2 linked regions of the Macaca mulatta genome follow. The protein of the gene in region 1 interacts with the protein of each later gene in a biochemical or structural test. Links are inferred from orthologs where the notes say so. Each region holds a gene or a part of one and is shown on either strand. Other genes may lie near its edges. The genes, in order: APBB1 and EVL.

Region 1 (15,687 bases):
GAGTGTGGAGGCCCCTCCCAGGCCCCAAGCCCTTACAGATGGCCCCCGGGAACACAGCAAGAGTGCCAGCCTGCTGTTTGGCATGCGGAACAGTGCAGCCAGTGACGAGGACTCAAGCTGGGCTACCTTATCCCAGGGCAGCCCCTCCTATGGCTCCCCAGAGGACACAGGTACCTTGTGGAGCTTGACATGGGCATGTGGGAGGGTGTGAGGGCAGAGGTTAGGCCTCTCATATAGAGGCCAGTGCCAGCCTGATGTGAGCTGAAAGCCCATGTCCTGAGGCCACAGCAGGCCATGTCCAGGCTTTCTCGTTCAGAGAGTGCTTGGACATTCTGGTAGATCTGACCATCATGCATGCCTGGATGGATAGATCTGTTCATTATGCATGCCACCATGGTTGGTAAGTGGACTAGTTTGTTTACTGGGCACTGACTAGGTAACTGGCCCTCTACTCAGCATTTTCAGGCTTTATCCTCACAGTAAAGCTGTGAGGTAAATACTATGATTATCCCCATATTACAGATAACAAAAAAGAGACCCAGAGAGGTTTAGTAGCTTTCTCAAGACCACAGACAGGCTGAGATTACAATAGAGCTGAGATCTAGACCAGGTCTGAGTCCAGGTCTGAGCTCTTGGCCCTGTGTTACACTGCCACCACAGCACAGAGCACAGTGCACTTAGGTGCACTTGGGACAGTCTGCCCCGTTTTAACAGGTCACGTCTGTGGGGAGCTGCTGTCAGGAGTAGGATATTGACTAAAAGTTAGAAAAGAAAACGCTTTGGGTAGGGGGAGGAGAGTAGATACTAGGATTCCAGGGCTTAATAATTAAATATGTCCCATTTAAATCAGCTGAGTCTCCACATTTTCTAATGTCATGTAGAGAATACAGGAAAAGCTGAGGAACAAAGGATGGAGATAATGGGCTATAGTCACAACCCTGGAGTTCTGTAGATGGGGGTCTAAGAAAGATTAGGAAAGATCCCCATCTTCACCAGGCAGCGAACACCATACCCATACCCCAAACTGTGCAATCTTTGTAGAGAACATGCAGTTCAAATGAGCCTAGGGCTGCACACCATCCCCGTTCGAAAAACTCATTCTGGACATTTTCAAACATATACAAAAGTAGAGAGAAAAGAATAATGAGCCTGATTTACCCATGACCCAGTTTTACCAATTATCAATACATAACTAATCTTGCTACCTACATGCTGTCTTCCATTCCTAGGCCCAGCGTAGGTTATTCTGAAGCAAATACTTTTATTTATAAATGTTTACAGCTGGGTGCAGTGGCTCACACCTGTAACCCAGCATATTGGAAGGCTAAAATGGTCAGATTGCTTAAGCCCAAGAGTTCAGGACCAACCTGGGCAACATGGCAAAACCCCGCCTCTATAAAAAATACAAAGAAGTTAGCTGGGAGTGGTGGCATCAGCAGCTGTGGTCTCAGCTCCTCAGGTGACTGACCTGAGAGGATCACCCGAGCCCGAGAAAGTCGAGGCTACAGTGAGCCATGGTTGTGCCACTGCACTCCAGCCTGGATGGCAGAGACCCTTTTTCAACAACAACAACAAAGTTTACTTTTGCATTTCTGAAAGATAAAACTCTTAAGAAAAACCCACCATAATATCAGTGTACCTACAGAAATTTAATAATAATCTCTTAGTATCATTAAATATCCAGTTGATATTTATGTTTTTAAAAAGGCTGGATTGAGGCTGGGCACAGTGGCTCACACCTGTAATCCCAGCACTTTGGAAGGCTCAGGTGGGCGGATTGCTTGAGCCCAGGAGTTCACAACCAGCCTGGCCAACATGGTGAAACCCCATCTCTACTAAAAATACAAAATTAGCTGGGCATGGTGGCAGGCGCCTGTAATCCCAGCTACTCGGGAGGCTGAGGCAGGAGAGTCACTTGAACATGGGAGGCGGAGGTCATGGTGAGCCGAGATTGAGCCATTACACTCCAGCCTGGGCAATAAGAGTGAGACTCCATCTCAAAAAAAAAAAAAAAAAAAAAAAAGTAGAGACAGTGTCTCACTATGTTGCCCAGGCTGGTTGTGAGCTCCTGTTCTCAAACAATCCTCCTACCTTGGCTTCCCAAAGCACGAGGCTTACAGGCGTGAGCCACCATGTCTGGCCTGATCCATCTCTTAAAGTTTCGTTTGATCAAGTTCCCCCTGTCTATTTGTTTTTTGCTTGCAGTTTTGCTTTTGTTTTTTAACTGAAGAATCATGTTGTTTGTCCTGGGTTTTCTATGGTCTGGATTTTTCAGACTCTCTCCTGTGGTGGTATTTACCATGCTCCTCTTCCCCTGGATTTCCTGTAAATTGGTAGTTAGTTCTAGAGCCTTGATCAGATTCAGATTTGAGCATTTTTGTGTTTTGCTTTTGCAAGCATATTTCATAGGTGGTATTTTAAATACTTCTACCAAAGGCAAAGTCTGATTGCCTCTCTTTTCATGATGTTAGTGGCCTTTGGCAGTCATTGCCTCAACTCCTTTTAAAAGGAACAGCCCCTCCTGCACTCCAGCTGATTACTTGTGGTATTGGGGTGAGGAAAAATGTAGTCTCAATGCAGCCAGTTAAAGGGAAACTGAAAACTAGATATTGGTGTAAAATAGCCCAATTTCTAAATGTTAACGACAAATTCTATTTTTTAAAAAGCACGGTGCAGGCCACACACAATCTATCTGAGGCTTGCATCAGTCTGCAGGTTGTAGGTTGCAAGTTTGCAAGACTAGGAGGTATGAGTCAGTGACCAGATAGAGGCCTAGTTGCTCAGTTGCCCCTGGGATGGTCACTGTAGTGGCTGCAACTATGAATAACCTATGAAGCTTCTAGGAATAGGAGGATAGTATTGCTGAAGAGCTGGGATGGGTTTGCTGGGCAGTGACCTCAGCAAGGATGTTGGAGGGGTGAGAGGATTCTCAAGGATCTTGCACTGGTGGAGACTTTGTGAATTGAGGATAGAGGTGGGGGCCAGCCCAGGAAAGGGGCCAAGTCACTGATTACTCTTTTATGACTGTGTTGCTATGACCAAGAGGGCTGCAGAGAAGGTTTGTGCTTCTGCAGAAATGAGGCTAGAATTGAGCAAAAATTATTTTCTCCTTCCTATTGTAGGATATTCATAGAGCTATGGATTGAATGCATAAATGCATGAATTCATGAATTAAATGAATGATAAATGAATAAACTTTACTACCTGTGTTGAATTCATACTCTGCTCCAGGCCTTGTCCTAAATGCTGGAAATGTATACTGTGAGGCAAAGATGTTTTTGCCCTCCTGGCCTTCACAGCCTGGTGAGGAGACAAAGAAAGAAACAGGAGGTTATGATCAGTGCGATGAGCTCTCTGGGGCTGGGGAAGTCCAGGAGGGGCCCCTGACCCTGCCTGTGAGAGTGGTGGGGGAGAGGGCAATGGGTCAGTTTTAAAGGGACCTGTATACTGATGTCTGAAGGAGAGGTAGGTGATAGCCAGGTGAAAATCGAGAGAAAGGGAGGTGGGCTGGGAGAGGACAAGGGGCGTGTCCCAAGCCAAGAGAGAGAAGGGGAGTGGCCAGAGGTAAGGCTGAGAGGCAGACAGGGGTTCATGACAACACATAAAACCTGGGGAGGAATTTGGACTTTATCCTGAGGGCAGTGCAAAACAATTAAGAGGATTAAGTTGGAAAATTACTTGATTAGTTTAGCATCTCAGAAGAATCATTTGGGCTGTAGTGTGCAGCTGAGATTGGAGGAGACCAGACAGGAAGAGAAAGACCAGTTAATGATGTTTTTGCAATGATCCAGGTAAAAAAATGCTAGTAGCCTGGGCTATGTTAGTTATGTGGGGTGGAGAGAAGGGGAGAGCATTAAGTCAATCACTGATTCCTGAGCAAGTGAGTACACCTGGCTTTGCCACTAAAGGCATTTGTGGATGAATGAATGAATGAAGGAAGGAATGATATGTGAACATTTAATATATTTTATGTGTAAGTGTCTGCATGAATCGATGCAGGAGTGAAGGTGTACGTTCTGGAATAAATGCATGTATGTGAAAGCAAAGGCCTGGGTGGGCTGTGCTTGAAGGGAGATGTGCCAAGCTCCAGAAGGGCCTCCCAGATGGCCAAGCGGGGAGAAGCTGCCCTTCCAGGACAGATCGGAAGGATGAAGCTCTCTGAAGCAGGAAGGTACAGGCTGTCAGGGATGGCAGATGGATTGGTGTGTGTCACTCAGTCAGGAGATGGTGAACTGGTCCCCAGATTCCAGAAGTGTCCAGCCCTCCTGAAGCAGACTGTGGCTGTGGAGGGCATGGAGGCCTTAGGTGTGGTGTTTCTGGAAGGTTTTAGCAGGAGAGTCCCGAGGCAATGGAGGGTCTCTGGGGAACAGCAGGTATTCCCTGAGCCTCAGTTAAGTTTCAGGTGCCTATTGAAAACCTTATTCCATAGGGTGTCAGTTAGGGGGAAGTGGGGGCGGGGAGAGGCGGTGATGGCTGCCTAGAAGGTGGATGGGCAAGAGCCACTCCTCTTTGGGTGTCTGTGGGCCCACGTCATTTGGAAGCTGAGGATGGTGAAGCACCCTGCCTGAATAACTCATCAGGTGTGCAGCCACCTTGGAGTAACCACGCCCACTTCCAGCCCTGCTGTGTCTGGTTGCCCAGCAGCTGGGGTCTTGGGACTGCCTGTCCCTTAGTGCTGCCTCTTGGACCAGTCAGGATTCCTGGTTTCCCTGGTAACGGGAAGCACGTCAGCAGTCTGGGCGCTCCCAGCCGGTCCTGGTGCTGCGGTTGCCGAGGAGACGCTGCAGCCTAGCTGGGCCCTGGCAGGTGAGGGGTGGGGGGTGGTGCTGGGAAGCCCCAAGCCCAGCCTCAAGCTTGCTGGGGCTCAGGAGCTCAAAGCCCACCCTTGGGTTCAAACGGCTGTGCAGGTTCTGGACAGGGGCAGGATCCCCAAAGGCCTTGAAACCACACCCTATTTATGCTGAGAGCTATAGGCTCTGCAGGGCCCCAGGCAGCTGGGGTATTCCTGAGGGGCCGAGTCTCCTGGTATCCCTAAGACTGGGCTTGGCTTAGGCACTGAGATAACCACTGGAGGGTGGGATGGAGGTTCAGGATTGGGGGAGGGGAGCCAGGGTGAGGAAGAAGAGGTGTGAGCAGGAGGGGCTGGGGTCTCATGAACCTCCCTTTCTCCTCCCTTCCCCACCCCCTCAAGGAGATTCCCTAGCATGGTGGTCCTGGCCCCTCCCTAGCAAGCTTCAAGCGGGGGAGGATCTTGCCTGGCAGACGCTCTGCCCTGGTGAGAAGGGGGCGGGATGAGTTTTTCTCTGCAGCCCAGCACCAGGCTGTGAGCCCCAGCTGGCTGGGCTGGAGGGGCTTTGAGGAGGGAGGGTGGAGGCGGGAGGGGCCGGGAATGAGCGCCACGTTCTCCCAGGACTTTTTCCTGGCCATCATCCTGCAGGACATTAGCCCAGGTGAGGGGCAGCACGAGGTTGGGCATCATGTGGGGTGGGGCTGACAGGGAAAGAAGAGTTAGAGGACGCATGAGCGGGTTACAGGGATGGAGTGGTGTGGCTCTGTCGGCAGACAAGGGTGTATGACACAGATGCGAGGTATGTGTGTATGTGCATGACATGTTTGCTTGCAACTGTGTGCAGCAAGGGTCAGGAAGTGAGCGTCTGTGGTGTCTGCACACATTTGGCAGGGTTTGATGTATGCCGTGTGTCTGAGTGTGGGTCCACCTGTATGTATGGTACCCACACATGTGTTAGGTGCCACTGTGGTATGGTATCTGCACACCTGTGTGGCAGGGGCTCATATGTTTAGCTGCATGTGCATGCCTCTGTGGTGTCTGCATAAGTGTATGGCTAAGGTTGGTGTGTATGTTTGCCCATGCACGTACATGTGCACCTGTGTGTGATACCTGCCATCTGTGCTGGCATTTTCTGTGTTGCATACCCTGGTGTTTGTGGCTGCACAGGTGTGTGGTAGGGCTTGTATGTGTTGTGTGTCTGTGTGTACATGTATGTGTGCAGGAGCTAAAAAGTGTTCCCCTTTGTGTTCACTGAGATAGAGATATGTATGAAAGGAGGTTAATTGGGGTCACCCAACCTTCCTTGCTCCGTTCCTTCCTCCTTCCCTGCCTTCCTCCTTTCCACAGTGTGGCCACATTAGCCACCAACAGGGCCCAGGAGGAGACCTGAGCCATGTCCCCTACTGGTGGCCCCACATGTGGTGACTCCAGACTATAGGCTCTAGGCAGAAGCAGGAATTGTGTTGTGGTATAGCTTTTCCTCCACCCCTTCTCAACCATGGGGTCTCAGAGGGGACCGGGCATAGGCACCAACTGTCTGCTCTTTAGGAAGGCTGACCCTCACCAAGCCTCCCACCTGGCAGATTCCTTCTGGAACCCTAACGCCTTCGAGACGGATTCCGACCTGCCGGCTGGATGGATGAGGGTCCAGGACACCTCAGGGACCTATTACTGGCACATCCCAACAGGGACCACCCAGTGGGAACCCCCCGGCCGGGCCTCCCCCTCACAAGGGAGCAGCCCCCAAGAGGAGTCCCAGGTGAGGCTCACAGGCCTGTTGGTTTTGGGCCAGAGGAGGGAGTATGTGCTGCTGGAGTAGGATAGGACACTCGCTCACTACTCCCTTCCCTCCTCCTAGCTCACCTGGACAGGTTTTGCTCACGGAGAAGGCTTTGAGGATGGAGAGTTTTGGAAGGTGAGTAAGGGGACCTGCTTTACCATGGGATAGCTGGAGGAGGTGCATCACTTTGATCCTGATTCCTCAATCCCCTTCCCAAGGATGAACCCAGTGATGAGGCCCCAATGGAGCTGGGACTGAAGGAACCTGAGGAGGGGACATTGACCTTCCCAGCTCAGAGCCTCAGGTGAGCTGCCAGATGCAGTGGGTTGGCAGTGGGATGGATCTGTCTGGAAGGGGCCTTGGGACAGCTCCATTTATGGGGGCCCTGTGCCAAGTATTACCATCTGCCTCCAGCCCAGAGCCATTGCCCCAAGAGGAGGAGAAGCTACCCCCACGGAATACCAACCCAGGGATAAAGGTTTGTTCAAGACTGACACCCATTCTGAGACCAGGGCCCTCTTGTGTGTAGGACAGCCCCTAATATTGTGCTCTGAGGGGTCTCAGTGCAGTCCCCCAGGTCCTGAGTTAGGAGTTCTTCCAGCCTCAGCAAAGAGCCCTGTGAGTGAGCTGGAGGCACTTCCAATTTTTAAATCAACCAGCCCAACAGACAGGTTGGGGGCCCTCGTAGTCTTGGTTCAGGTGCTTTTTTGTACTAGCCAGGGTCTCATATGACATCTCCCTCACCCTCACCACATCCCCCTCTCCCTAACCACATCCTGTTTGGGGAGCTTCTCCGTCTTAGTTCAGAACACCCTGCCTCCTGCCATACTCTGTATTCAGGAACTCTGCTGTGTCCTGTGCTGAGGGCTCTCCAGTTTTGACTCCGATCCTCTGCCTCCTGCCCCTCTTCTGTGTCTGGCAGTGTTTCGCCGTGCGATCCCTAGGCTGGGTAGAGATGACCGAGGAGGAGCTGGCCCCTGGACGCAGCAGTGTGGCAGTCAACAATTGCATCCGTCAGCTCTCTTACCACAAAAACAACCTGCATGACCCCATGTCTGGGGGCTGGGGGGAAGTAAGGACCTGAGCCAGCAGGGGTGGTACTATGAGAGAGTGTGAAGGGAATTATGAGAGATGGGAGGTCTGACCTGCCCACAAGCAGGCTGGGAAAGGGGCATATTGGCCCTCCGTAAGTGGCAGCCCTGTGGGATGGATGAGTGACCCCAGGCTAGGACCTTGCGAGATGGTAGCCTAACAACAGTGGAGTCGATGTGAGAGATGACACGTGACCTCCACTAGAGTGAGGCCTGCAGGGCGGGTGGTCTGACACCAAAGCAGGGGCCCCAGAGCTGTGGCTAACATCCCCTGAGCTGCAGGATCAGAGATCAGCTACCATCCCGGCTGGAGTCCCACTGAGTGCCTGCTTCTGGGCCTGCAGGGAAAGGATCTGCTACTACAGCTGGAGGACGAGACGCTAAAGCTAGTGGAGCCACAGAGCCAGGCACTGCTGCACGCCCAACCCATCATCAGCATCCGTGTGTGGGGCGTTGGGCGGGACAGTGGAAGGTGGGAACAGGGCCTGGGATTCCAGGGTGGGAGTTCATCCAGCGTCAGAGTCCTCCTCTCTAACTCTGTTCTTTGCCTCTCTTGTGCTGCTGGACCCAGAGAGAGGTACTATGCCTATTTTCCCCCTCCTGCACCTGGACCAGATGCCTGGAAGCACCCAAGCTTCCCTCTTCTGCCTTGCCCCTTCCAACCTGCTATGCTCCACCATTACCTTCCACCTCAGCATGCTTGCCTGTCTACCCTCCCTCCAGAAGACAGCACCTATGGGGAACCAGCTGTGGGCAGAAGCCCTGGAGGAGCTGTGACGGGCAGGGAGGACATGGGTGGGGTGGGGACCAGGCTTGGCACTGGATGGTACTGGGAGACACTGAGGTGCCCCTCCCCCAACAGGGACTTTGCCTACGTAGCTCGTGATAAGCTGACCCAGATGCTCAAGTGCCACGTGTTTCGCTGTGAGGCACCCGCCAAGAACATCGCCACCAGCCTGCATGAGATCTGCTCTAAGGCACGGCCCCCTCCACTCCCTGGACTAGCTGCCACCTTCACTCTACAAGGGTGTGGGTGGGGTTACTGAGTAGGGTGGGGGGGCCCCAGGGCAATGAGGCTCTAATAGATTCTCCCTGGCTCCTCGCCTCCCTTCCTTCCTCAGATCATGGCCGAACGGCGTAATGCCCGCTGCTTGGTGAATGGACTCTCCCTGGACCACTCTAAACTTGTGGATGTCCCTTTCCAAGGTCAGTGTCAAAACCCCTCCAGGTCCAGATCAGATTTGTTGGCAAAGGTGGGCGACTCAAGGAAAGGCATGAGCTCCTGGACAGCGCTGATAGAAAAATGAACACATGAAGACTGAATACTCCAATAAGTGGAGGGACTCCGGTTAAAGGGAGGCAAGGGACGAGATGGAAGTAGGACCTCGGCTGGGCAAGTGTCTAGCTTATGCCCTGCTGGTGGGGACTGGGGGTGAGCAAGGTCTCCCACCATGATCAACCTTCTGTTCTTTCCCATAGTGGAATTCCCAGCGCCTAAGAATGAGTTGGTCCAGAAGTTCCAAGTCTATTACCTGGGGAATGTACCTGTTGCTAAACCTGTTGGTATGTGTGTCCTTCTGTACCCAGGGGCTGCTACCTTGATCCTAAAGCTCTGCCCCTACCCTCTGCCTTCCAATACTTCTTCTACCAGACCTTCCTCATGCTTCATGTCTCCCTACCCTTTAAAATGCATCCCACCTCCCTGTACTTCTGTCCTAGCTATATTCACTGTCCTGCTTATAGCAGCAGTCAGCATGCCTTCGCTGAGCATCAGCCACGTGAGTCGTGCTGAACCAGGCACAGAGGGAAACCCCACTCCTTCATCCCATGGAAAAGCTTTGGTGGGATTGGGAGGCAGCTATTAGATGACTGGAAACACCAGACAGCAGCCTGTAGCTGGGTTAAGTGTTACAGCACGAGCTGTGGGCTGGAAGTATCAGGAGAAGGAAACAGTGAGCATAATTGTCACATATATTATTGTTGCAAATAATTTTTTTTTTTTAAAGACAAGTCTTGCTCTGTCCCCCAGGCTGGAGTGCAGTGGCATGATCTCAGCTCACTGCAACCTCCGCCTCCCGGGTTCAAGCAATTCTCCTGCCTCAGCCTCCTGAGTAGCTGGAATTACAGGCTCCCGCCACCAGGCCTGGTTAATTTTTGTATGTTTAGTGGAGATAGGGTTTCACTGTGTTGGCCAGGGCTGGTCTTGAACTCCTGACCTCAAGTGATCCGCCCACCTCGGCTTCTGAGAGTGCTGGGATTACAGACTTGAGCCACTGTGCCTGGCCTGATCTGGTTAACTCTTATATTTCAGTGCTGTCATAGTATCTGCTATTTATTTGTTCATTCACTTAACAAATACCTTTGAAGCTTACTATGTGGCAGGCCCTGGACTAGGCGCTGGGAGAACAGTGGCCACAGTCCCATTTTCATAGAGGTTATAGAAGGTTGTGGTAGAAAAAAACCAGGAATTAATAAAATAATCACACAAATTGTGAGTTATTCATTGAGAGAAAGTAGCAAGATAGAACAGAGGAATTTCATCTAGTCTGGGGTCATAAAAGACTTCCCTGTGAAAGTGACGTTTGAACTGAAATCCAAAAAATGAATAGAAGTGAATGCAGTCAAGTGGAATGGAGGTGGGGGTAGGATGGGGGAAGATCAGGATCTACAGTGGGTGGCACTTTGGCACTTCCAAGGTACTGAAAGAAAGCCAATGCAAGATGAGGCTGAGAGCCGGGCAGTGGCCAGGCTGCCAGGTCAGGGATCTCAGGGATTATGTTAATGATTTTTTCTTCATCCTAAGAGCAGCAAGGAGTTATTGAAGTCTCCAAGAGTGCACTTGCCTTAATCAGATTTGAATTTTGAAAGCTCACTTTGGCTATTTCATGGAGGGGACTGTTAGGCGGGTGGAGGTGGATGTGAGCAGCTCAGTTAGGAGGCCGTTGCAGTAGTCCTGGCCAATAATGAGGGTATCTTGGACAACAGTGGAGCTGAGGAGGAGTTCGTGGATTCCAGAGCTGTTTAGACAGGTATAGTCAACAGGCCTCGGTGATTGGTTCAGTGTGGGTGAGGGACAGAGGCATTAAGGGTGACTGCTAGGTTCCTGGCTGTTGGACCTTCTGGATAGTGGATTCTTTCTTTCAAGGTGGCAGATGTTAGAAGAGGCCAATTTGAGTGTGGAGATTGTAAGCTAACGTTTGGACATGCTGAGTTTGAGGTGCCTTTGGGGAAACTGAGAGGCAAAGTCAGGTTGGCAGCTAGATTCACAGATCTGGAGCTGAGAGGAGAGGTCTGGGCTGGAGATAGAAGTTTTGGCATTATTGGGTTGTAGAGGTAATCAAAGCCATGGATGTAGAGTAGCTTGACCCTGGAAAGTCGGCATCCTGAAGTGAGAAGGGAAATGAGGCTAGTCATAGCCTTGAGGCCCTCCAACATTCAGTGGATGGGTGGAGGATGAAACTGCCAATGATAGTGACAACAGGAGAGAGGCAGGAAGAAGAAAAGAGACTACTTGAAGAAGTGGTGGCGTATCATGTCAAAAGACACATAGGAGGAACTCAACAGATTTTTGATGAATGAATTTAAAAAATGAATTAATGAATAAATGAGACTAGCTTCAGATTACATGGCCAGGAAAGCTAGACCTAGGAGTCAAACCCCGGTCATCTTTAATTCTCTGCACTTTCCCTCATACCGTGCTGACTTTCATGTCCAAAATCTTACATTGAAAGAGGGGACCCTTCTTAGAAAAGGTGGGGATTGAACTGAGGTTTTGAAGGAAGGCTTGGATTTGCAGAGTGGAGTGGATATTTCATTTGGATTCAGTGGCACTGCCAAAGACTTGGAGCTAGAGTTGAGAAAAGCATGCTGACCCTTATGCCTTTGCTTTCCTCCTTCTCATCCTCAACTTCTAAACCCTTGTTGGCTCTTCCGGTTGTTACCCCCACTCCCATATGTGCTTCTTTGCATCTACCACTTGACTCAGGTCCTCCCTATGCCAGATCAACTGCCTGTGACCCTTGACTGCTCCATCAGCTCCACACTTTTGGACAAGTGGCCTCTAAACTTACTTCCTGCTTTATCTTATGCTCCTTTTTAACCTCCTTTTTTAACATTAGCCCCTCCAGAAGCTGTAGTATTCGTTCATTAATCATTCATTCATTCAACAAGTGGTAATGAGTGCCTGATGTGTGTCAGGCACTATTCTAGCTTCTTGCCATACATTGATGAACAAAAGTGACAAAGATCCCTGCTTTTATTTAGCTTACATTCTAGCAAGGAGAGACAGACAATAAAATGAGTAAACCATGGAGTATATTAGAAGGCAACAACTGATACAAAAAAAAATAAAAGAAAAAAGAAAAGCACACCAGGATAAGGGGGATTGCATGTGGGGCTGGAGGTCAAGGTCACGGTGTAGGTTTTAGTCCTGAGTTGCTATCAAATCTGACCGCCTTCTTCCATACCTTGCTCCACTGCTTTCACTGCTTCCCTGCCAAACCTCCTAAGACTCTGAGGCCGGGCTCCACTTCCCACAGCCCCATCTACTCAGCAGTTTGACTTTGATGTCCCTTTCACACAACTGAACTTTGAGATTTCCAGTTGCCCTGGCCTAAATGTCATAAACATCACACCCCTCTGCCTGGCTTTTGAAGCGCTCTGCAATATGACCTGGCCCATCCACTTCTGTGACACTTGGTTTTACCAGTTTGGGTGCATTTGCTCATGTTGCCTTGAGAGTGACTTGCTCATGCATCTGGAATTTCTTCAGCAGATAAGCGCTGTGTTAGAATTGGGGACAGAGGGATTAATTAAATTCCATTTCTGTTCTTGAGATGGCCAAAGCCCAGTGTGGAAAAAAGTTTGCCAGCAGTTACAAGATGTTGTGGTAAGAGTTGTCTCAGAGTTGTCTTCTCCCTGCCCTGCAGCAGGGATGGCTTCCTAGAGAACACCTAGTCGGAGCCCTGAAGGATGACAGTCTGGAGTTTCTCAGTCCAGCGGGGAAAGGGCAGTCAAGACAGAGGCTTTTCCCTCAGTTGCAGTCTGTGTCCCTCAAGGACATTCTCTTCTCTTGTTTTGTATTCCCCATCTGCCTTACAGGCCATTTGCCAAGATTGGTTGTTAATAATAATGCTACACAAATCATCTGAAGCTGAGGGAGCAGTAAAATATGAGGCTTGACAGCTCTGGAGAGGCCAGTTTTTGGAAGACTCGCATGCTTTTGGGAGCAGTTTGGCCTTGCTCCAGCCAGAAGTAAGATGAGCAAGGCCAAGATGGGAGAAGACATTCAAGGAAGACATTTGTCCTCTGCCCACAAAGAGTCCACATGGTCCGCTCCTAGTGGGAGCTGAGAGGCACTAAAAGGGGCAGAGGGCCTGGGACTGGACCACAGAGGCATATGCCTTTTGCACTGGCATTGTGCAGAGACAGTAGATCACATGGGCAGCTTATAAGTGTGGGGACTAGGACTGATGCCTTCACCACACCATGTGCTCCTGCCTTGGTGCTTTGCTGAGTGCAAGCAAAAGTGGGATCCATGAGGGGAAATGTTTAACAGCAGTTTGAGGTGGAGGAGAACATGCATTATAAGGGAAACCTGATTGATCTAAAAGTCAGGAACCTTGGGTTCCTTGGCCCTTGAGCACATTATAGACATTCTTGAGTAGAACCTAAGATCTTGAAAGCCCTTGTAGTTCTGAAAACTAGTAATATAGAGAAGAGGTAGGAGAAAGGCATGGCTAAGAACCCAGGCTCTGGAATCAGACTGCCTGAGCTCAGGTCTCCATTCCTTGATGTGACCTAAGGCATGTTGCCTATCTCTACTGTTTCCTTATTTGTAAAATGGAAATCTGTTGTGAAGTTGTTGTGCGGGCACAAATGAGGTAATACACTGTGATGACTTAGCACAGTGTGATACAGAGTAATCACTCCTCAAATAGATTATCTTAAAAAATAATTGGGTCTTGGGAGAGGACTGGCCTGTAGGGGCTGACTTGGGAGTTATTGTGGTGTGAAGCAATGTGGTGTCTGAGTGTGATGAGCGCTGAGAGAGCACAATTTGGGGAAGTCAGAACTTTGGGAGGTCAGTCGGTTCACAAGTGTGGAGGAATAGGCAGAGCCAGTGAAAATAACCAGCCTAGGATTCAAGATTTTAAAAAGTAGGAAAATGTCCAGTTACTGAGGCCAGGGGACCCAGGGAAGGGATACTTGGACAGCATTGTCCAAGATGTAGGTTGGCAAAGTGGGGATGGGGCAAAGGCCCTGGGTTTGACTGGGTGGAGCTAGAGTTCTAGGGTAGAGCTGGGGTATCCTCTCTCTACCGTCAATGGTGTCTTGTGTCCATATGTTCTAGGGGTAGATGTGATTAATGGGGCCCTCGAGTCAGTCCTGTCCTCCAGCAGCCGTGAGCAGTGGACCCCAAGTCATGTCAGTGTGGCTCCTGCTACCCTCACCATCTTGCACCAGCAGGTAAAGAGCTGGGGTAGAAGTCGTGGCTTTGCCTTGCTGTGGAGGGGAGACGGGGTGAAGGGAAGAGCTGCTAAGATGGATGTGGAACACAGTGTGGGGTGGTGTTCCTTTTTAACTGAGTTCCTTCCATGCAGACAGAGGCAGTGCTGGGAGAGTGTCGGGTGCGTTTCCTCTCCTTCCTGGCCGTGGGCAGAGATGTCCACACATTTGCATTCATCATGGCTGCCGGCCCAGCCTCCTTCTGCTGCCACATGTTTTGGTGCGAGCCCAATGCTGCTAGCCTCTCAGAGGCTGTGCAGGCTGCGTGCATGGTAAGCCGGTAGGGTGGTGTGGTAGTGGCGTGGCACCATGTGAGGCAGGCTGGAGAGTGACTGCCCTACTTGCCTCCGCAGCTTCGCTACCAGAAGTGTCTGGATGCCCGTTCCCAGGCCTCCACTTCCTGCCTCCCAGCACCCCCTGCTGAGTCCGTGGCACGGCGTGTAGGGTGGACTGTCCGCAGGGGTGTTCAGTCGCTGTGGGGCTCCCTGAAGCCCAAACGGCTGGGGACCCATACCCCATGAAGAAGCCTCTGCCTTCCCTCCACCTGCTTGTGTCGGGCCCCAGGGAACTACAGGGTGTGGGTCAGGTAGGGGTCTAGAGGCTATTCCTAGGCCTTAGGCCTCCCAAATATGCCCCTCCCCAGTAGCTAGGGTTCCCTGCCTAGGAGCTGGGGAGGGAGAGATCTAATCCCTTCAAGGAAGTCATAACACTGGTGTGGTAACAAGAGGAGCAGGAAGCAAGGCCAGCCCTGGCTCTCCATCCCCATGTGTTTCAGGTGGAACAGGAGGAACTGGCCCAGGCCAGGCCTCATACTCCTGGGACCCAGCAGGGGCAGGAGGAAGGGACTGGTCCAGGCATGGGTCCCTTCCCTTTGCTCCGTGGGCACCTCTACTGTATTGATATCACTAATAAAGTCTGTCTGCACTGCTGTGTGCCTTCTATGCCTGTACCACACCATCAACCCCATTACCCTATGCCTCAGTTACGATCTTGCCCCAAAGATCTCCTTGCCCTGCCTGCTTGAAGGAAGAAATTGGTACAGTCACACAGGGGTCTAGAGTCCAAGTCTCTTATCTTTATTTTAACAGACTGGCAGGATCAGGTCGCAGCAGCAGTACAGGGTTCCTGGCTGGGCAGCACAGGCCTGGGGCAACAGCTCCTGTCTTGTCTGCCAGGGCGGTGTCAACTTAGGCCTCTATTCCACGGCTGTGAAAGGACAGCAGCCTCAAGGCAGTTTAGCTCCTGGGCACAGGCAGCCAAACCCCCTCCCATATCCAGCTAAACCAGCTCCAAGAAAGGATAAGGTCCTGTTTCCCCGGCATCCTTGGGGCCCAGGGACTGGTTCTTCCACTGGATGACCTTGCTTGGTTGAACCACAGCAGCATTTGGGCTTTTTCATCCTTTCCTACATCAAGAACTTTCCCAAATGTGGGCCCTGGGGCCCTAGCAAAAAAGTGGCCTTGGCCACAGGCTCTGGGCCTCTGGGAGGCTCCCATCTAGCATCAGGTGGCGGCACAGAG
Region 2 (15,787 bases), on another chromosome or scaffold:
CAAGGGCTGGAATCCCTGTCTCATAGCACCCTGCTCAGAAAGCTTGCCACATTTTTTGCTGCTTTTCATAATTCTTCTCAATGCTTTATTAAAGCTAGATGATAGAGTTAAAATAATAGCCCCAGAAGGTTCACTCTTACGTGTTACCTACCTAGTGAAACCGATAAAAGGTAGTAGTAACATGTGAAGGACAGAGGAAACGAGGGGTGAAACTGAAAGACACTTCTCACAGAGAAGATGTTTACTCTTAGGCTAGCATCTTCAGAAAATGAGAAAGAATACCCTTTTGTAGTTTAATAATCATAATTGACTTCTGCTTCTGGCCATGGCAGAATAATGGTAATGACTTGCTCTCTTGACAGAAACAACTACGAAACTGTGTAAAATATGTGAAGCAACTGAATATAAAAAGGGTACTGAGATTCATGGAAGATATTAAATCCCTGCCATTTTCAGACTTTGGACAGACAGGATAGGACTTTGATTCTTGAGAGAGGAAACGCCATGAGAAGCCCCTGGCTTTCTGCCTGCAGTTACCATCTAGTCTCGGCATGGAGTGGTGGAGCCCAAATGGAAGGGTGATTTTAGTCAGCTCGGGGCAGACATTAGAATTCTATGCCACTGAAATAGTTGGAGTTTGCAGGGCAAGGAACTAGAGAAATGGAAGCCCTGTGATGGGGCAAAGACAGCAGAGTTCTTTGTAAGGATTCTAGTTGGATTGTTGGCTGAGAGCTGGGTGTGCATGTGCAGAGTGAGACTCTTCATGAGGCCTGGCAGAGATCACCGGCTGTAGGGCTAAGAACCCAATGATGATGCCAGAGGTCATTCAGTTCTGGGAGATGTTGCAGATCCAGCTTAACCTGAATGAAGAAACTTCCCTGAACACCTCAGGCATTCAGTTGAGATCCCAGAACGTCACACCTTAGAAGTAGGACTGTGCTCTTGAGTCAGATGCGGGTGGGGGGTGGGGGGTGGAGTTGGGGGGTTGTTTAGGGGAGGCACACCCCTAAGGCTAAATTCAAAATGGAAATAGAACTGAAGAAAGGTTTGAGCCAAGCTTGGTAGCACCAAAAGGATCTGCCAGTAATCTCCCTGACTACCAGAACAGACTTTACATCTTTAAAGAAAGATAGCATAATCCAGACTTTCTGCAATGTATCATACTGTATCTAACATACAATCATAAGTTAGTGGACATACAGAGTCAGAAAATGTGACATATACTTAAGGGGAAGAAAGCAGTCAGTAGACCCTGAAATGCTCCTGAAGTTGGAACAAACAGGCAAGTTCTTCAAGTTACCCATAATAAATATGTTCACAGACTTTAATAAAAGGTGGATAAAGTGAACAAACAGGAAATCCCAACAGAGAAATGGAAATTATAAAAAACTTGCCCATTGAAAATTCTACTACTGGAAATGAAATGAAAAATTTACTGGATGAGACTAAAAGTGGATCAGAGGTCCAGAAGAAAGGGTAGTGGACTTGGAGATGGATCAATAGATATCTAGTCTGAAAAATGGGAAAATATTTTAAAAAGAATTACCAGTGCCTTGTGATAATATCAGGAGGTCTACATACATGTACTTGGAGTGCCAGAGGAAGAGGAGAAAGAGAATGAGGCAGAAGAAAAATAATTGAGGAAATAATGACTAAAATTTCCCAAATTTGGTGAAAAACCTTAAATTACATACCTAAGAATCTCAATGAAACCCTAGCAAAATCAATGCAAAAAGAACCACACCTAAACCCATCACAGTCACACTGCTGAAAACGAAAGAAAAAGAAAATATTAAAAATGACCAAAGGAAAAGGGATCCATTACGTACATTGTATGTGAATGATGGCTGACTTCTCAGAAACCGTGGAGGCCAGAAGACAGTGAAACAATACCTTTAAAGTGCTGAAAGACAAAAAAACCCTCAGTATTCTCTATTCGCAAAAAGTGCTTTGAGGCTTGAAGACAAAGATGTTTTTCAGATAAAAGAAAAGTAAGAGAATTTTATTGCCAACTTACCTGTTGTACAAAAAATGCTCAAGGAGGCCGGGCACAGTAGCTCACGCCTATAATCCCAGCCCTTTGGGAGGCCGAGGTGAGCGAATCCCTTGAATCCAGGAGTTTGAGACCAGCCAGGGCAACATGGTGAAACCGTTCTCTACTAAAAATACAAAAATTAGCCAGGCATGGTGGCGCATACCTTTAGACCCAGCTACTCAGACGGCAGGAGGCAGGAGAATCATTTGAGCCTGGGAGGCAGAGGTTTCAGTGAGCCGAGATCACACCACACCAGTGTACTCCAGCTTGGGTGACAGAGCAAGACCCTGTCTCAAAAAAACAAAAAGAAATTCTAAAGGAAGTTCCTCAGGCTGAAAAAAAAAAAAAAAAAAACAAAAACAAAAACAGGAAATTCAGATGTTCAGGGATGGATAAAGATTACTGGAAAAGAGAAATATATGAGTAAACATAAAGACTTTTATTTCTTCAATACACACACACATATGTACACACACATGACTCTTGAACAATCCAGGGGTTAGGGTGCTGGCCCCTCACACAGTTAAAAATCCACCTAAAACTTGCATCCCCTAAAATTTAACTGTTAAGAGCCTATTGTTGACAGGAAGCCTTACCAATAACATAAGCAGTTGGTTAATACATACTTTGTTATTATATGTATTACACACTGTATTCTTATAATTAAGCTAGGGAAAAATTTTATTAAAATCATAAGTGAAAATATATTTTAATTAGTTTCACTAGTAATTAATTGGAAATGGATTATCTTAAAGTTCTTCATCTTTGTCATCTTCACACTGAGTAGGCTGAGGAGGAAGAGGAAAAGGAGGGGTTGGTCTTGCTGTCTCAGGTGTGGCGGAGGTAGAAGAAATTTCATGTGCAAGTGGACCTGGGTCAGGCGTGGTGGTAGCTCATGCCTGTAGTCCTAGCACTTTGGGAGGCTGAGATGGGAGGATTGCTTGAGCCCAGGAGGTTGAGGCTGCAGTGAGCTGTGATTGCACCACTATACTCTGGCCTATGCAACAGAGCGAGACCACATCTCAAAAAAAGTAGTAGTATAATGGACCTATGAAGGTCAAACCTGTGCTGTTCAAGGGTCAGCTGTATATATATATATATATATATATATATATATATATATATATATATATATGATTGTCTAAAACAAAAATATATAACATTATATTTTGAGTATGTAACACATATGACAGCTACACCATAAAGGGTGGGAGTGGAGAATGAAATTAAGCAATTATGAAGTTCTTAACATTTTACTGAAGTGGTACAATATTAACTCAGTGTACTTTATAAAGTTAAGAATGTATATTGTAATCCCTAGAAAGACCTGTAAAAAAATAGAGGTATAGCTAAAAAGTCAACAGAGAAATTCAGATGAAATTCTGAAAAGTATTTAGTTTACCCACAAGAATACAGGAAACGAAGAACAGAGGAACCAGAAACAGACGAGACAAACAGAAAACAAATAGCAAAGTAGTAGACCTATATCCATCTGTATCAATAAGCTAAATGTAAATAAACTAAATACCCCAATTAAAAGATAGAAATTGTCAGACTGGGTGAAAATGCAAGACTCAATCATACACTATCTATAGGACAAAGATACAAATCAACTGAAGGTGAAAGGATGTGTAGTAGGCAGAGTAATGCCATCACCCTGCCCTAATCCCTAGAACCTGTGACTCTGTGACTTTACATGGGATGGGCATGGTAGCTCATGCCTGTAATCCTAGCACTTTGGGGGCCAAGGCAGGAGGATCACTTGAGACCAGGAGTTTGAGACCAGCCTCAGAAACATAGCAAGACCCCATCTCTATTTAAAAAAATGTTTTTAAATTAGCCAGGCATGGTGGTGTGTGCCTATAGTCCTAACTACTCAGGAAGCTGAGATAGGAGGGTCACTTGAGCCAGGAGTTTGAGGCTGCAGTGAACTATGATCACACCCCACTGCATTCCAGCCTGGGTGACAGCGATAGACCCTGTCTCTAAAAAAGTAAATAAATAAAATATTACCTTACGTGGCAAAAACGACTCTGGAGATGTGATTAAAGTTGTGGACCTTGAGATGGAGTGGTTATCTTGGATTATCCATTGGGTCCAGTCTAGTCACATGAGTCCTTAAAAGTAGAGAACCTGTCCACACCGTGGTCAGAAAGACATGTCGCTGTGGAAGAAGGGTCGGAGCAATGCTGCGTGCTTTGAAAGCGGACAGAGGGGCTATGAGAAAGCAATGCAGGCAGTGTCTAGAAGCTGAGAAAGGTGAGCAAGAGAGACCCATGTGGGACTTCTGATGATGTTGGGCTTCTTACCTCCTATGATCTTACAAAACTCTTAAGATAGTAAGTGTGTGTGTTATAAGCCACTCAGTTTGTGGTAATTTGTTACAGCAGTGCAGAAAACCAATGTGGCATGGAAAAATGTACCTAATAAGAGCTTCAAAACCCATGAAATAAAGAGTGACAGAATTAAAGAGGGAAATCCAGTCACAGTTGGAGATTTCAGGACCTTTCCCTCAGCAGTTGATAGAATAATTAGACAAAAACAAACAACAGCAACAAAAAGTAACAAGGACATAGACGTTCTGAACAGTACTATTAACCACCATGACCTAATTGACATTTTAGAACACTGCACCCGACCAGTTTCAGAATACACATTCTTTCCTTGTGCGTATGCTGCATCCGCCAAGGTAGACTGCATGCTGGGCCATAACGCACATTTTGATAAATGTGAAAGGATTGAGATCATACCAGGAAAAACAAAGGAAGAAGTCACACCAAATATGTTCTCTGAGCCCAGTAGAATTAAATTGGAAATAAGTAGCGACACATATAGGAAAACACCAAATATTTCAAAATTTAACAAAGCACTTATCAATAATCTATGGATAAAAGAAGAAATCACTAGAGAAAATTAAAAATATTTTGAACCAAAAGAAAAAAGAAAACTGCAATACATCCAAATTGTGGTTTGCAACTAAAACAGTGCTTAAAGGGAAATGTATATCATTAAAAGCCTCTTAAAAATGCATTTTTAGCATTCAAAGTGCATTCATCTCTGCAATTAGAACTGATACTTCTTTTGTACTGTACTCTGTACAACTATTTTTCACTATATCAATATTTTAATGGATCTATTAAATATTTGCTAACATTATCAAGCCATGGCCACAAGGTGAGTACTGGAACCAATACAGGGAACAGAGGGATGTCAAGAGGAAACCTAGAACCTTAATGGTGAATGGGCTATAGAAATCATCTCAGGTCCCCTTAGTATACTGATCGAGAAATCCATGACCAGAGGGCAGAATTCTTCTTTCCTAAGCCATAAAAGTCCTTTAAGGACCAGTACGGTCGTTCTGAATTTTTTGTCTGTGATTTCTAACACAGTGCATGCTTCTTAGTGAGTTCTCAGTAGATTTTGAAAGAAAGATTGAACTGGATTTTATCTTCATGAGAACCCTGTTGGAGATAGGCAAAGTAAGTATAACTAACCCCATTTTACAGTTGAGGCCACCCATTTAATGAACAAGTGACAAAGCCAAGTTCTCAGTGTTCCTCAAATGTTTTCCTTTCAGGCTCTAAATTGCTGACTTAAATGTCCTCATTAGAGAGAGCTGTCTGCTCGGTAGAAGTACAAATTTTGTTCCAGAGTCAAATATTAAGACTTGATCGGCGGCCTGGCATGGTGGCTCATGCCTGTAATCCCAGCACTTTGGGAAGCCGAGGCAGGCGGATCACCTGAGGTCGGGAGTTTGAGACCAGCCTGACCAACATGGAGAAACCCTGTCTCTACTAAAAACACAAAATTACCTGGGCATGGTGGCACATGCCTATAATCCCAGCTACTCAGGAGGCTGAGGCAGGAGAATCGCTTGAACCTTGGAGGCGGTGGTTGCGGTGAGCCAAGATCGTGCCATTGCACTCCAGCCTGGGCGATGGGAGTGAAATTCTGTCTCAAAAAAAAAAGATCAGCTTATAGTCTTTATCATCTAGTCTTCTATTCTCTGGAGAGTCAGCGGGGACTCTTGCGAGTTCTTGTAGCCTTTTCTTAAGGCCTATAGGAAGTCGTCTGTGCTGAGCCTGCACTTTCTATAACAGATGGAAAACCGAGGCCCAGACCTCTTAAATGGCATTGACTTAGACAGACTATAGAGCTAGTTCGTCGGGGGCCAGCACCACGACCTGGCCCCTACCTCCAGCAGGCATCACCCACCCTTGCACCCTTGCAGGAAGTGCTTAGAGGCTTGAGGTTGCCAGCCGTGGAGGTGTCAGGCCTGTGAAGTGCCTCTCAGCCACCCACGCTGGTAGGGCTCTGCACTGCTAGCTTCTTGTTTCTCTATTTTCTACCTAGGTTTCAGTTTTTCACTTGGGTTTGTTTCCCCTTTGTCTCTGGTTCAGCTTCCTTTTCCTGTTTGGTTTTAAGTAGTCTATAAAAATCAAGTTGCTGTCTTCAGAGAGTCTGTGGTCCTCTGATCAGCATAGCCCAGTGGGAGTACCGGACTCACCTCCTCAGGGTTCCCTGTGCTGCCACTTTTCAGCCATGGCCACAAGGTGAGTACTGAAACCAATACAGGGAACAGAGGGATGTCAAGAGGAAACCTAGAATCTTACTGGTGAATGGGCTGTGGAAATCATCTCATGACCCCTCAGTATACTGATCAAGAAATCCATGACCAGAGGGCAGGGGACTTACATGAGGTTACACAGCACGTTGGTGACAATCTGCTCACTCTCCAGCCGCTGGTCTTTCCATTACACAGGCCTGTGTCTCTTGATGCCTGTGACCCTTAATGGCTTCTGGATGAAGGATTTACTCAGAAATTAGCCCCTACCTCAGATTATAGGGAGGAGGGTCTGAGCCATCTAGGGGATTGTTGTTTAGCTCAGAGGTACATTTTGATGAGTCCTGGCTCTTCTCTCTAGAATGACCTGAGACTGGTTGTTTTATCTAAATATAGACAGAGAGAGTTATTTTTATTATAGGAACTTCATGAACTTAATAGCAAGAATCCTGACCCTCCACTTGTGAGACTTGTGACCTTAGGCTGTTGCTGTTTAGCACATGTGTGAGTGCCAGCCAGTCTACAAACTGCACTCCTCATTGAGATTGTTCTTTCTAAAGGGGAGATTACATGTTGGACCTGCCTCTCCCCTGCCATACAACTCTGAAAGATTATAGATGATAGGACAGACAGACTTTTAACCTGTGGGGTTTGGGGCATTTGTTTGGTTGACTCATGACAGCTTTGTTTTTTAGCATAAAGTAATGGTCCCTCACTTTGAAAATTATTTCACAATTTTCAAAGTGCCATTTCACCAGTTTTCTTATTTGAATCTTTTAATCGTGTTAGATCGATGAGAACGCCGTCATCACTCCTGTTTCATAGCTGAGAAAACCTCTGAAAAGTTGTGGGGCTTGTCCGAGGTCACATGGCAGGTGGAGGAAGGAATGGAACCAGGGTTTAACAAGGATGGCCTCGTCCGGTGGTTTTCGCAGCACGCTACACAGGCTCTTGAGAAGCAGTTTGCAGTGAGTTGTTAAAATTGACATGGTGGTAGGTAGAACTTGTCCAGGGCTGCTTATTTTCCAGTGGGCTTTATTTCTGCTCCTATCATTTTAGTAACTTTCTTTTAACTTTAGAGGACTTGTGAATGGAACTTCTGAAAACAGAATACTTTTCATTTCAAAGGCATATCAACTTCCAAAGTCATTTTTAGTTGTAAATTACATTGTGAAAAATTCCAGCAGCTTATTCTACCCTGCCAATTACTAATTGCAGAAAATTATATCAGAAGTAAATGGGGAGGAGGCACATCAATCTCTTTTTCAGTTTTAAAATCGTAGAAATCTAGAAGTTTCCATCTTGAAAAGACCTTGGAGATGATCTACAGTAGTTTACCTAGGTTAGTGGTGCTTTGGGCATCTTATCCTCTACTTCAGCCAAAATAACTCTACTTTTGTCTTTTTTTTTTTTTTTTTTTTGAGATGGAGTCTCACTCTGTCACCCAGGCTGGAGTGCAGTGGCCGGATCTCAGCTCACTGCAAGCTCCGCCTCCCGGGTTCACACCATTCTCCGGCCTCAGCCTCCCGAGTAGCTGGGACTACAGGCGCCCGCCGCCTCGCCCAGCTAGTTTTTTGCATTTTTTAGTAGAGACGGGGTTTCACCGTGGTAGCCAGGATGGTCTCGATCTCCTGCCCTCGTGATCTGCCCGTCTCGGCCTCCCAAAGTGCTGGGATTACAGGCTTGAGTACTTTTGTCTTTTTAATGTATTCCTTGATAATTAATTGAGGGAAAAAAAGTCATATTGTTGGTGGTGGTGATGATTTTCAAGTCTGAAGATTACACTAATCTAGTCCAGCTCCTGAGTGCACAGATCAGGAAATTGAGGCCCAGTGTGGAGCAGAGTTTGTCTACGGGGAGCAGAGTAGTGGCTGAACCAAAGCAAAAGCCCAGGTTTTCTGGAGCATCCCTTCCCCGTACAAGGCTGCTTGTACTCTGCCACAGGTCCCTGGCCTGGCCCCGTAGTGACAGTCCTGGTGGAAGCAGCGTTCATGGAGCTGCAAGGTCAGCAGCCATAGGAGCTGTGAACTTTTTGTTTTTCCTCATGCTGACTGACATATGGGGATACCACGGCGCCTGTGGTGGGGATACAAAGGGCCTTTTTAATGTGCAAATATATCTTACTAGCTCTAGCTCTGACTACTCACCAATCAAGAAACGTTTTCCAAGCCCTAACTGGATTAGGAGCTAGGAATTTTCTTGAGTGCATGACAACGTACAGAATGCTTTCACTGACATTATTTTATTTAATTACTGCAATAATCCTGAAGGTAGCATTGTGGGGTGTTTTTGTTTTTGTATTTTTTAGAGATGAGGTCTTGCCATATTGCCCAGGCTGGCCTCAAACTCCCAAGCTCGAGCAAGCCTCCTGCCTCAGTGGGACTACAGGTGTGGGCCACCACACCCAGCTAGCATTGTTTTTATTGTTTCTGTTTCATAGAAGGAGAGAGTAACTTGACAAGAGACATAGCCAGTGAGTGATAGACCCAGGACTTGAACCTGTGCCTCCTGACCACAGATGCTTTGCCCTTTTGCTCTTACGCCTGAGTTGGAGCGGCCTCTGTCTTCAGGGACTGGTCGGGAGTGAGGAAGGCAGCACTCACAGAAATGAGGAGGCGACTCGCTGTAAGGACCCTGTAGCATAGACAGTAATAAGCATAAACAGGAGGGGCAGTAAGAGTTGAGAAGTTGGGGACTGTCAGGGAAGACCTTAAAGAGAAAGTGGGATCTCAGGTGAACTTTGAAGGATAGGAATGATTTTTTAGAAGGCACTGGCAGGCGTCGCAGGCAGCCAGTCACCCAGTGGCTGCTCTGGGTGCTAGGGACACAATGGTAAACAAGACAGGCAGGCTTGTCCTCCAACTGAGGGCAGAGTAGGGAGGCAGAATATAGTCAAGAAACCATCAATAGAGATGTGAAAACAGTGGAGCAGCGTGGTAGAGAATGACGGGGCCACTGCCTTAGCCAGTGCCCTCTATGGGGACATGAGGCAGCCATGTAAAATCTGAAGACTTTGGGGTGGAAGGGGCAGCAGGTATCCTCAGATGGGGACGAGGCCCTGAAATAGGAACAGTTTGTTGGGTTCAAAGGTCAAGAAAAATACAGAGGCTGGAGCAACATGAAGAAGGAAGAGTGAAGGCAAATAAGGGCCCAGGCTTTATCAGGCCCTACGGCAAAGCCTGCGAGCTGTGCTGAATTTAGCGCATATGTCAGAATTTAGTTAGGGGAAGCCTTTGGAGGAAGGGTTCGAAGCAAAGGGAAAGACATCCAACAGACGCTTAAGAAAATCGCTCTGGCACCTGTGTGGATAATGGCTGGCAGTGTGGCAAGAATAGAAGCAGGAAGACCTCTTGGGAGGCTACCACAGTCATCCGGGTAAGAGATGAGGGTGATTTGGGCCAGCAGTGGAGCAGTCAGGGTAGCTGGTGAGAAGTCACCAGATTTAGGAAGTGCCGTGGTGCTGTAGCCTCCAGGACTATCTGGTGGATCACATGTGGGTGTGGGGGAAACATGAGTCAGACATGTCTTAGGTGGGTGGTGATTCCTTTCACCATGCTGGGGCAGCTGGGGTGCTAGCTGGAAGAATCTGTAGAGGTGTGGGCCTAGCAGAACAGGTTCCCAGGAAATGTGGGTTGAACAAGGCTGACCTGAGCAGGAACTAGCTGAGATCGCGGTGCAGCAGCAGGAAATGTGATATGGATGTGTGATATGTCTGCCACTTTTGGGGCCAGCCAGTTAATTTCATTTCCTTCACTGGTCTCTCTGTTGTCCTTGGTAGGCTGTGGGTTTTTTCTAAAGCATGTACTATCTTCTAACATATTATAGAAGGTATTTGTTTTACTGTGTACTGTCTGTCTTTACCCCTCTAGAATGTAAACTCCCAGAAGGCAGGGATTTTTGCCTGTTTTGTTCACTGGTGTATTCCCAATGCCTAAAACATTGCCTGGCAGTACACATTTATTGAACTGCTGGATTTAATTAACTACTTCGATATATGGTCCTGGAGATTCCTGTGCTACCAAAGCTGCTACTCGGTGGAGCTTCCTGGTGTGGCATGTTAGAGAAGAGACCAGACAAACAGACATTTCACTTGCTGTCAGGTAGTGAAGGAACTGTGGCTGCCTGGGCACAATCATTACTGTTTATTCCACTGTGCTGCACATCTTGAAGCTGTAAAGATGTAAGAAGTCTCGCACAGCCAGGGTTCACCTTACAATCCTTCCCACCCAGTTGTACGCCTTTGTGTCAGGGTTTGGAGGAGTCTCCAGGAACACCTAGTGTTTCCAGTCCTCACAGGCAAATGAGAGAGTCCCAGAGGCAATTGAACAAGCCCTCAGAGATCACGTGGTCTGTTCACTCTCCATGGGAACACACACTTCCCTAAAGACCTGTAGCCAAATCATTTGGAGAGCTTCTGATGCTTCTCTGCCTTCCTCTGTCTCAAAGAATCCCATGTGCCTCTAGTTGGGAAACATTCCTCTAGAGATTCTAGGTTATTCTCATTAGAGTGTTAAGATACTCAGGTGGGCTGGGGCAGAAAATGGATGAGAACTAGTCTAGTCCAATGGCTTCACTTTGGTAACTGAACCCACAGAAGAGGAAAATAACAGCTCAGCTTTTCTGAGTGTTATAAACCAATCATTATGCTAGTTACATGATATACATACTATTTAATTCTCACCCTTTGAGGTTTTGTATCACTATTCCCACTTTACAGATAAGAAAACAAGGGTTGACCAGGCATTGTGGCTCACACCTATAATCCCAGCACTTTGAGAGGCCAACGCAGGAGGATCGCCTGAGCTCAGGAGTTCAAGACCAGCCTCAGTATCGTAGTGATCTACAAAAAAAAAAAAAAAAAGAAAAAAAAAATGAAAATTAGCCAGGTGTGGTAGTGCATGCCTGAAGCCTATAGTCCCAACTTCTCAGGAGGCTGAGGTGGGAGGATTGCTTGAGCCCAGCAGTTCAAGCCTGCAGTGAGCTATGATCACACTACTGCACTCCAGCCTGTGACAGAGCAAGACCCTACCTCAAAAAGAAAAGAAAACAAGGGCCTACAAAGTAACGTATTCCAGGTCACATTGTTGTCACTTGGCAGAGCTTTTGATCTCTGAGAGGATCAAAATCTGCGCTCTCAACTTTAACTTCTCAAAGCTAAACTCGTCTCAGTTTGCAGAGTCAAGGCTAGAATCGAGGCCCTCCTGATCTCTATTTTGCAGTCTCCATCATTCTGCGCTGTTAATACCACAGGAGACAAAAGAGACCTCGTCCGTCCTGTAGCACCCCGTGCCTGCGTGCATATCTCTTGTCGATGCTCTGTCGGCTCAGGATCTCTCCTACCAGCCTAGAGCTCTTTCAGAGCAGGACGCTTGTGTTATGCATTCATGTTTGTCTCTGTGCCTAGTAAATAACACGGAGTCCAAGTGGCTGCTCTGTCGTCTGGGGTGTTTGTAAGGGCAGAGCCAGGGTCTTCGTTCCCAGGCTGTTAATTCATCCTTGGAGCTGGACATACTGTCCCAATCCTTGGCCCAAGCCAGGCCTCTACTGTTGTCCCAAGGCTGTGCTAAAACCTCTTCTACTTCACAAGTGATCAGAGTCACAGACTCTGGGGACACAAATTTTGGGATGAAGACACAGAGCAACCTATATAAATGTTTCTGAGGTTTGAGTAGCCTTAACGTCCACGTGACTGTCAGATGCTCCCCAAAGAAAGGGCTACGTCGGTGACCTTGAAAGAGTGTGGGAGATGCGTCTGAGACAGGGGCAGTCTAGGAATATCAGACTCCCCAGCAGTTGGTTGGAGTGTTTTTCCAGATTGCACCAGACTTCACAGAGAAATGGAGACCCGCTGTTCAGGCATCTCTTGAGAGGGTGGCATCCAAGGAGAAAAGGCAAACATCTTGATTGCCCGCGACGTGGGCAACCAATTTGGACAGAAAAGAAGGTGTCAGGGTTTAACACTGAATGTAGACTTTATTTACCCAAAGCCTTTCTTTAATTCTAACACTCTCAAAAATGGGGCTCAGTCACCATTTGGGTTTCCCATGTTAATACACAGAGAGCGAATTCATTGTCTTTCATTGCTGTAATGCAGCAGTTCTCAAAACGTACTCCAGACGTTGACCCTCCAAGGAGTCTGTAGGTCAGAACTATATTTATAATATTACTAAGACATCATTTGCCATTTCAGCTCTTGTCTCATGAATGCATGGTGGAATTTTCCAGAGCTATGTGATGTTTTGACATCATCACTGTGGCAGCTAATGAAATGTCTGCTTGTATATTCTTGTGTTTTAAAAAAGTATTAGTTTTAATTTCAAATAAGGTGAATATGGATAGACTTAACCTATATAAAACAGAAGCTTTTTGGCATCCTCAATAATTGAGTGTAAAAGGGTTCTCTGACCAAAAAAGTTTGAGAACCATGTATGTAAAATAGTCAGTTGTATGGCTGTACTGCAGACAGCATGCATGGAATTGAAAACACCACCTGCAAGGTGGCAGTTCCCCCTGGTCCAGAGGAGGAGCTCTGGGTCTGGGAGGAGGATGCAGGCGTCACTAAAGGCGAACTAAACAGCTTTAGGACTTGCTGTCAGATTTCCTAGACTGCGTGGTGGGACCGTGGGAACTTACTTCTCACAGGCCTGAAATACTTCACAATAAACATTTTAAGTCTACTTCATAACATGAAACCTGTTTCACATCTGTGCCCATTAAGAAAAAAATGGCACCCTATAAGTGAGTTAATAATTACCAAGGGGAAAATATAGCTTTCCATTGGAGATCTGGCAGTCACCTCTTAATCAACCTACAGTCTACTTTTAGTTGGCCTGAATTCTTCACACACACAACATCTTTGTCAATGAAAAAATTTTAAATAGTTTCACATTCTAGCTTAGCTTGAAAGAGAGTAAGCAGACGGCTCAACCAAATGTAATCCATGAGCAGATCCTGCATCCCAAAAAAATCTAACATTTTGTAAAAATTGGGTAACTTTTTGTTGTTGTTGTTGAGTCGGAGTCTCCCTCTGTTGCCCAGGCTGGAGTGCATTGGAGCTATCTCCGCTCATTGCAACCTACACCTCTCTATGCCTCCCGGGTTCAAGCAGTTCTCCTGCCTCAGCCTCCCGAGTAGCTGGGACTACAGGCGTTTGCCACTACACCCACCTAATTTTTGTATTTTTAGTAGAGACGGGGTTTCACCATATTGGCCAGGCTGATCTCGAACTCTTGACCTCAGGTGATCCACCCACCTGGGCCTCCCAAAGTTTTGGGATTACATGGGTAACTTTTAATAGGACTCTGTATTAGATTTTTAGTAAATTGTTGATTTTCTTTGTTGTGACAATGGTATTTACGTTATATATTAGAATATCCTTATTTTAAAGAAATGTATGCTAAAGTCCCTAGGATTGAAGTATCATGATAGCTGCAGCTGACTTTCAGATGGCTCAGGGGAAAGGCAGAGATAACTCATATGCGGCAAATGTTAACCACGGGCATGTTTAGTGAAAGGTACAAGAGTGTCCCTTGTATATTCCTGTAGGTTTGAAATTTTTCAGAGTAAAAAGGTGGAGTGAAAAACAGCTTCAAAATAGTAAAAGCTGGATTCGGGTTTTGCTGCGTCGCCAAGTGGAGCAGAAAAGCCTTACTGCGCGACAGAACGTCAGGTTGCTGTCTAGTCCAGGCTCTGCCGTGGATCAGCCATGGGTGTCGGGCAAGTTACTTCCTTCTCTAGGCCTGTTTCCTAAGAAAATCACTGCAGAATGTTTTTCAGCTCTGATGAGACTGTGATTCCAAGCGTCTCTGTTTCTCAGTCCCTGAATTGGGACATGGCAACGTGGGTGTGCTTCCTCATTCCCCTGGGTAGGTGTTGAGAAGTGATGAGGCCCCAGGGTGATGACTGAGGTCCCCCCACCCACCACTCTGCCTTTGCTGACACTCTTCCCTCTGCTTGAAATGGTTCCTTGTTTCCTTTTGAAAAGTCTTGCTTCCCCTTCATGACAGCATCCCTTGGGTCCCTCAGGCAGAGCTAAATGCCCTCCTCTTGTGACACTTTGCACGTACAGCACTTTTTCTTTTTTCTATTCTTTTTTTTTTTTTTTTTTTTTTTGGAGACAGGGTCTTGCTCTGTCACCCAGGATGGAGTGCAGTGATGCAGACACGGTTCGCTGCAACCTTAACCTCCTCAGCTCAAGGGATCCTCCTTCTACCTCAGCCTTCTGAGCAGCTGGGGCTGCAGGCACCCACCACCATGCCTGGCTAACTTTTTTTATTTTGTGTAGAGACAGGATCTGTGTTGCCCAGGCTGGTCTCGAACTCCTGGGCTCAAACTGTCCTCCCACCTTGGCCTCCCAAAGTGCTGGGATTTCAGGTGTGAGCCACTGTGCCCAGCCCTTGTTTTATTTTTCAAATAAATGCAGGAAAAAAGAAAGAGAAAGCAGAGGTGGCCAGATCTCAAGTGAGTCGTGCCACCCCCACCACAAAAATCCTTGCAGGCTGAGAAACACGATACCTGGCAAAACTCAGCAAACATAAAAGCCAGCAGTTATTGAAAGGCATTTGTTGAGCAATCACTAGGTCCCAGTTACTAGAGCTACGGAGATGAACACTACTTTAAAAACCAAACCAAACAGCCTGCCTCATGGAGGCGCTTGCCCCTCAGTTCAGTGGCAAGTGTATGGTAAGTGTTCTGCAGAGAAGCTAAGCAGCTGAGGCGAGCGGGCAGGGGCCCAGGGTGGGCATTAGCATTCTCTTCAGTGTGGTTCAGGGAGTCTTCCCTGGGGGCAGTAGTGGGGATGGAGGGCAGTGTGAGTAGAGGCTAGAGGAAAGCACAGGAGCAAATCAGGGCCCAGAAACTGTGATTTCCTAACAGCAGGGCTCAGGAGTGGGCCCTCAGTGACCTCCACAGTGGATCTGGGCCATTCCACAAAGACAGAACCTGACAGCCTGGTCCCACTTGGTGAGGCCTGAGGCAATTCCCCAGGCCACAGTGAGGAACCTGCCACCTTGTTTTTCTCCTTAGAAGTTAAAAGACTACGTGATAATGACAGCTCTCCATGTGGACACGGAAGGCAGTTTCATGCGGATTCCACCCGAAGTCCTGCCTCATATGGATTTGCTGTTTATTCAACCAGCATTGTCCTTGTTCAAGATGGTATCTGCTGGGTGCTAATCATGTTTAGTAAA

What was found.
Region 2: the proteins of APBB1 (region 1) and EVL form a complex in vitro, tested with the Homo sapiens proteins (2 studies listed by BioGRID). The link is inferred for Macaca mulatta from reciprocal best matches to the Homo sapiens genes APBB1 and EVL.

Annotation. Positions count from the first base shown.
Region 1 is NC_133419.1:59,374,782-59,390,468, forward strand, and holds the end of APBB1 (amyloid beta precursor protein binding family B member 1), read left to right. Parts: coding exon 1-170; intron 171-4,732; exon of another isoform or gene 4,733-5,389; coding exon of another isoform or gene 5,390-5,450; intron 5,451-6,341; exon of another isoform or gene 6,342-6,372; coding exon 6,373-6,548; intron 6,549-6,647; coding exon 6,648-6,704; intron 6,705-6,787; coding exon 6,788-6,873; intron 6,874-6,983; coding exon 6,984-7,047; intron 7,048-7,491; coding exon 7,492-7,641; intron 7,642-8,004; coding exon 8,005-8,132; intron 8,133-8,522; coding exon 8,523-8,637; intron 8,638-8,781; coding exon 8,782-8,866; intron 8,867-9,139; coding exon 9,140-9,223; intron 9,224-14,012; coding exon 14,013-14,128; intron 14,129-14,262; coding exon 14,263-14,439; intron 14,440-14,520; coding exon 14,521-14,688; 3' UTR 14,689-15,095; downstream 15,096-15,687. Other genes in the region: SMPD1 (sphingomyelin phosphodiesterase), read right to left, coding at 15,611-15,687. UniProt on the Homo sapiens protein: Transcription coregulator that can have both coactivator and corepressor functions. Adapter protein that forms a transcriptionally active complex with the gamma-secretase-derived amyloid precursor protein (APP) intracellular domain.
Region 2 is NC_133412.1:173,394,346-173,410,132, forward strand, and holds the start of EVL (ena/VASP-like protein), read left to right. Parts: upstream 1-6,489; 5' UTR 6,490-6,577; coding exon of another isoform or gene 6,578-6,588; intron 6,589-7,388; 5' UTR 7,389-7,508; coding exon 7,509-7,567; exon of another isoform or gene 7,568-7,592; intron 7,593-15,787. UniProt on the Homo sapiens protein: Ena/VASP proteins are actin-associated proteins involved in a range of processes dependent on cytoskeleton remodeling and cell polarity such as axon guidance and lamellipodial and filopodial dynamics in migrating cells.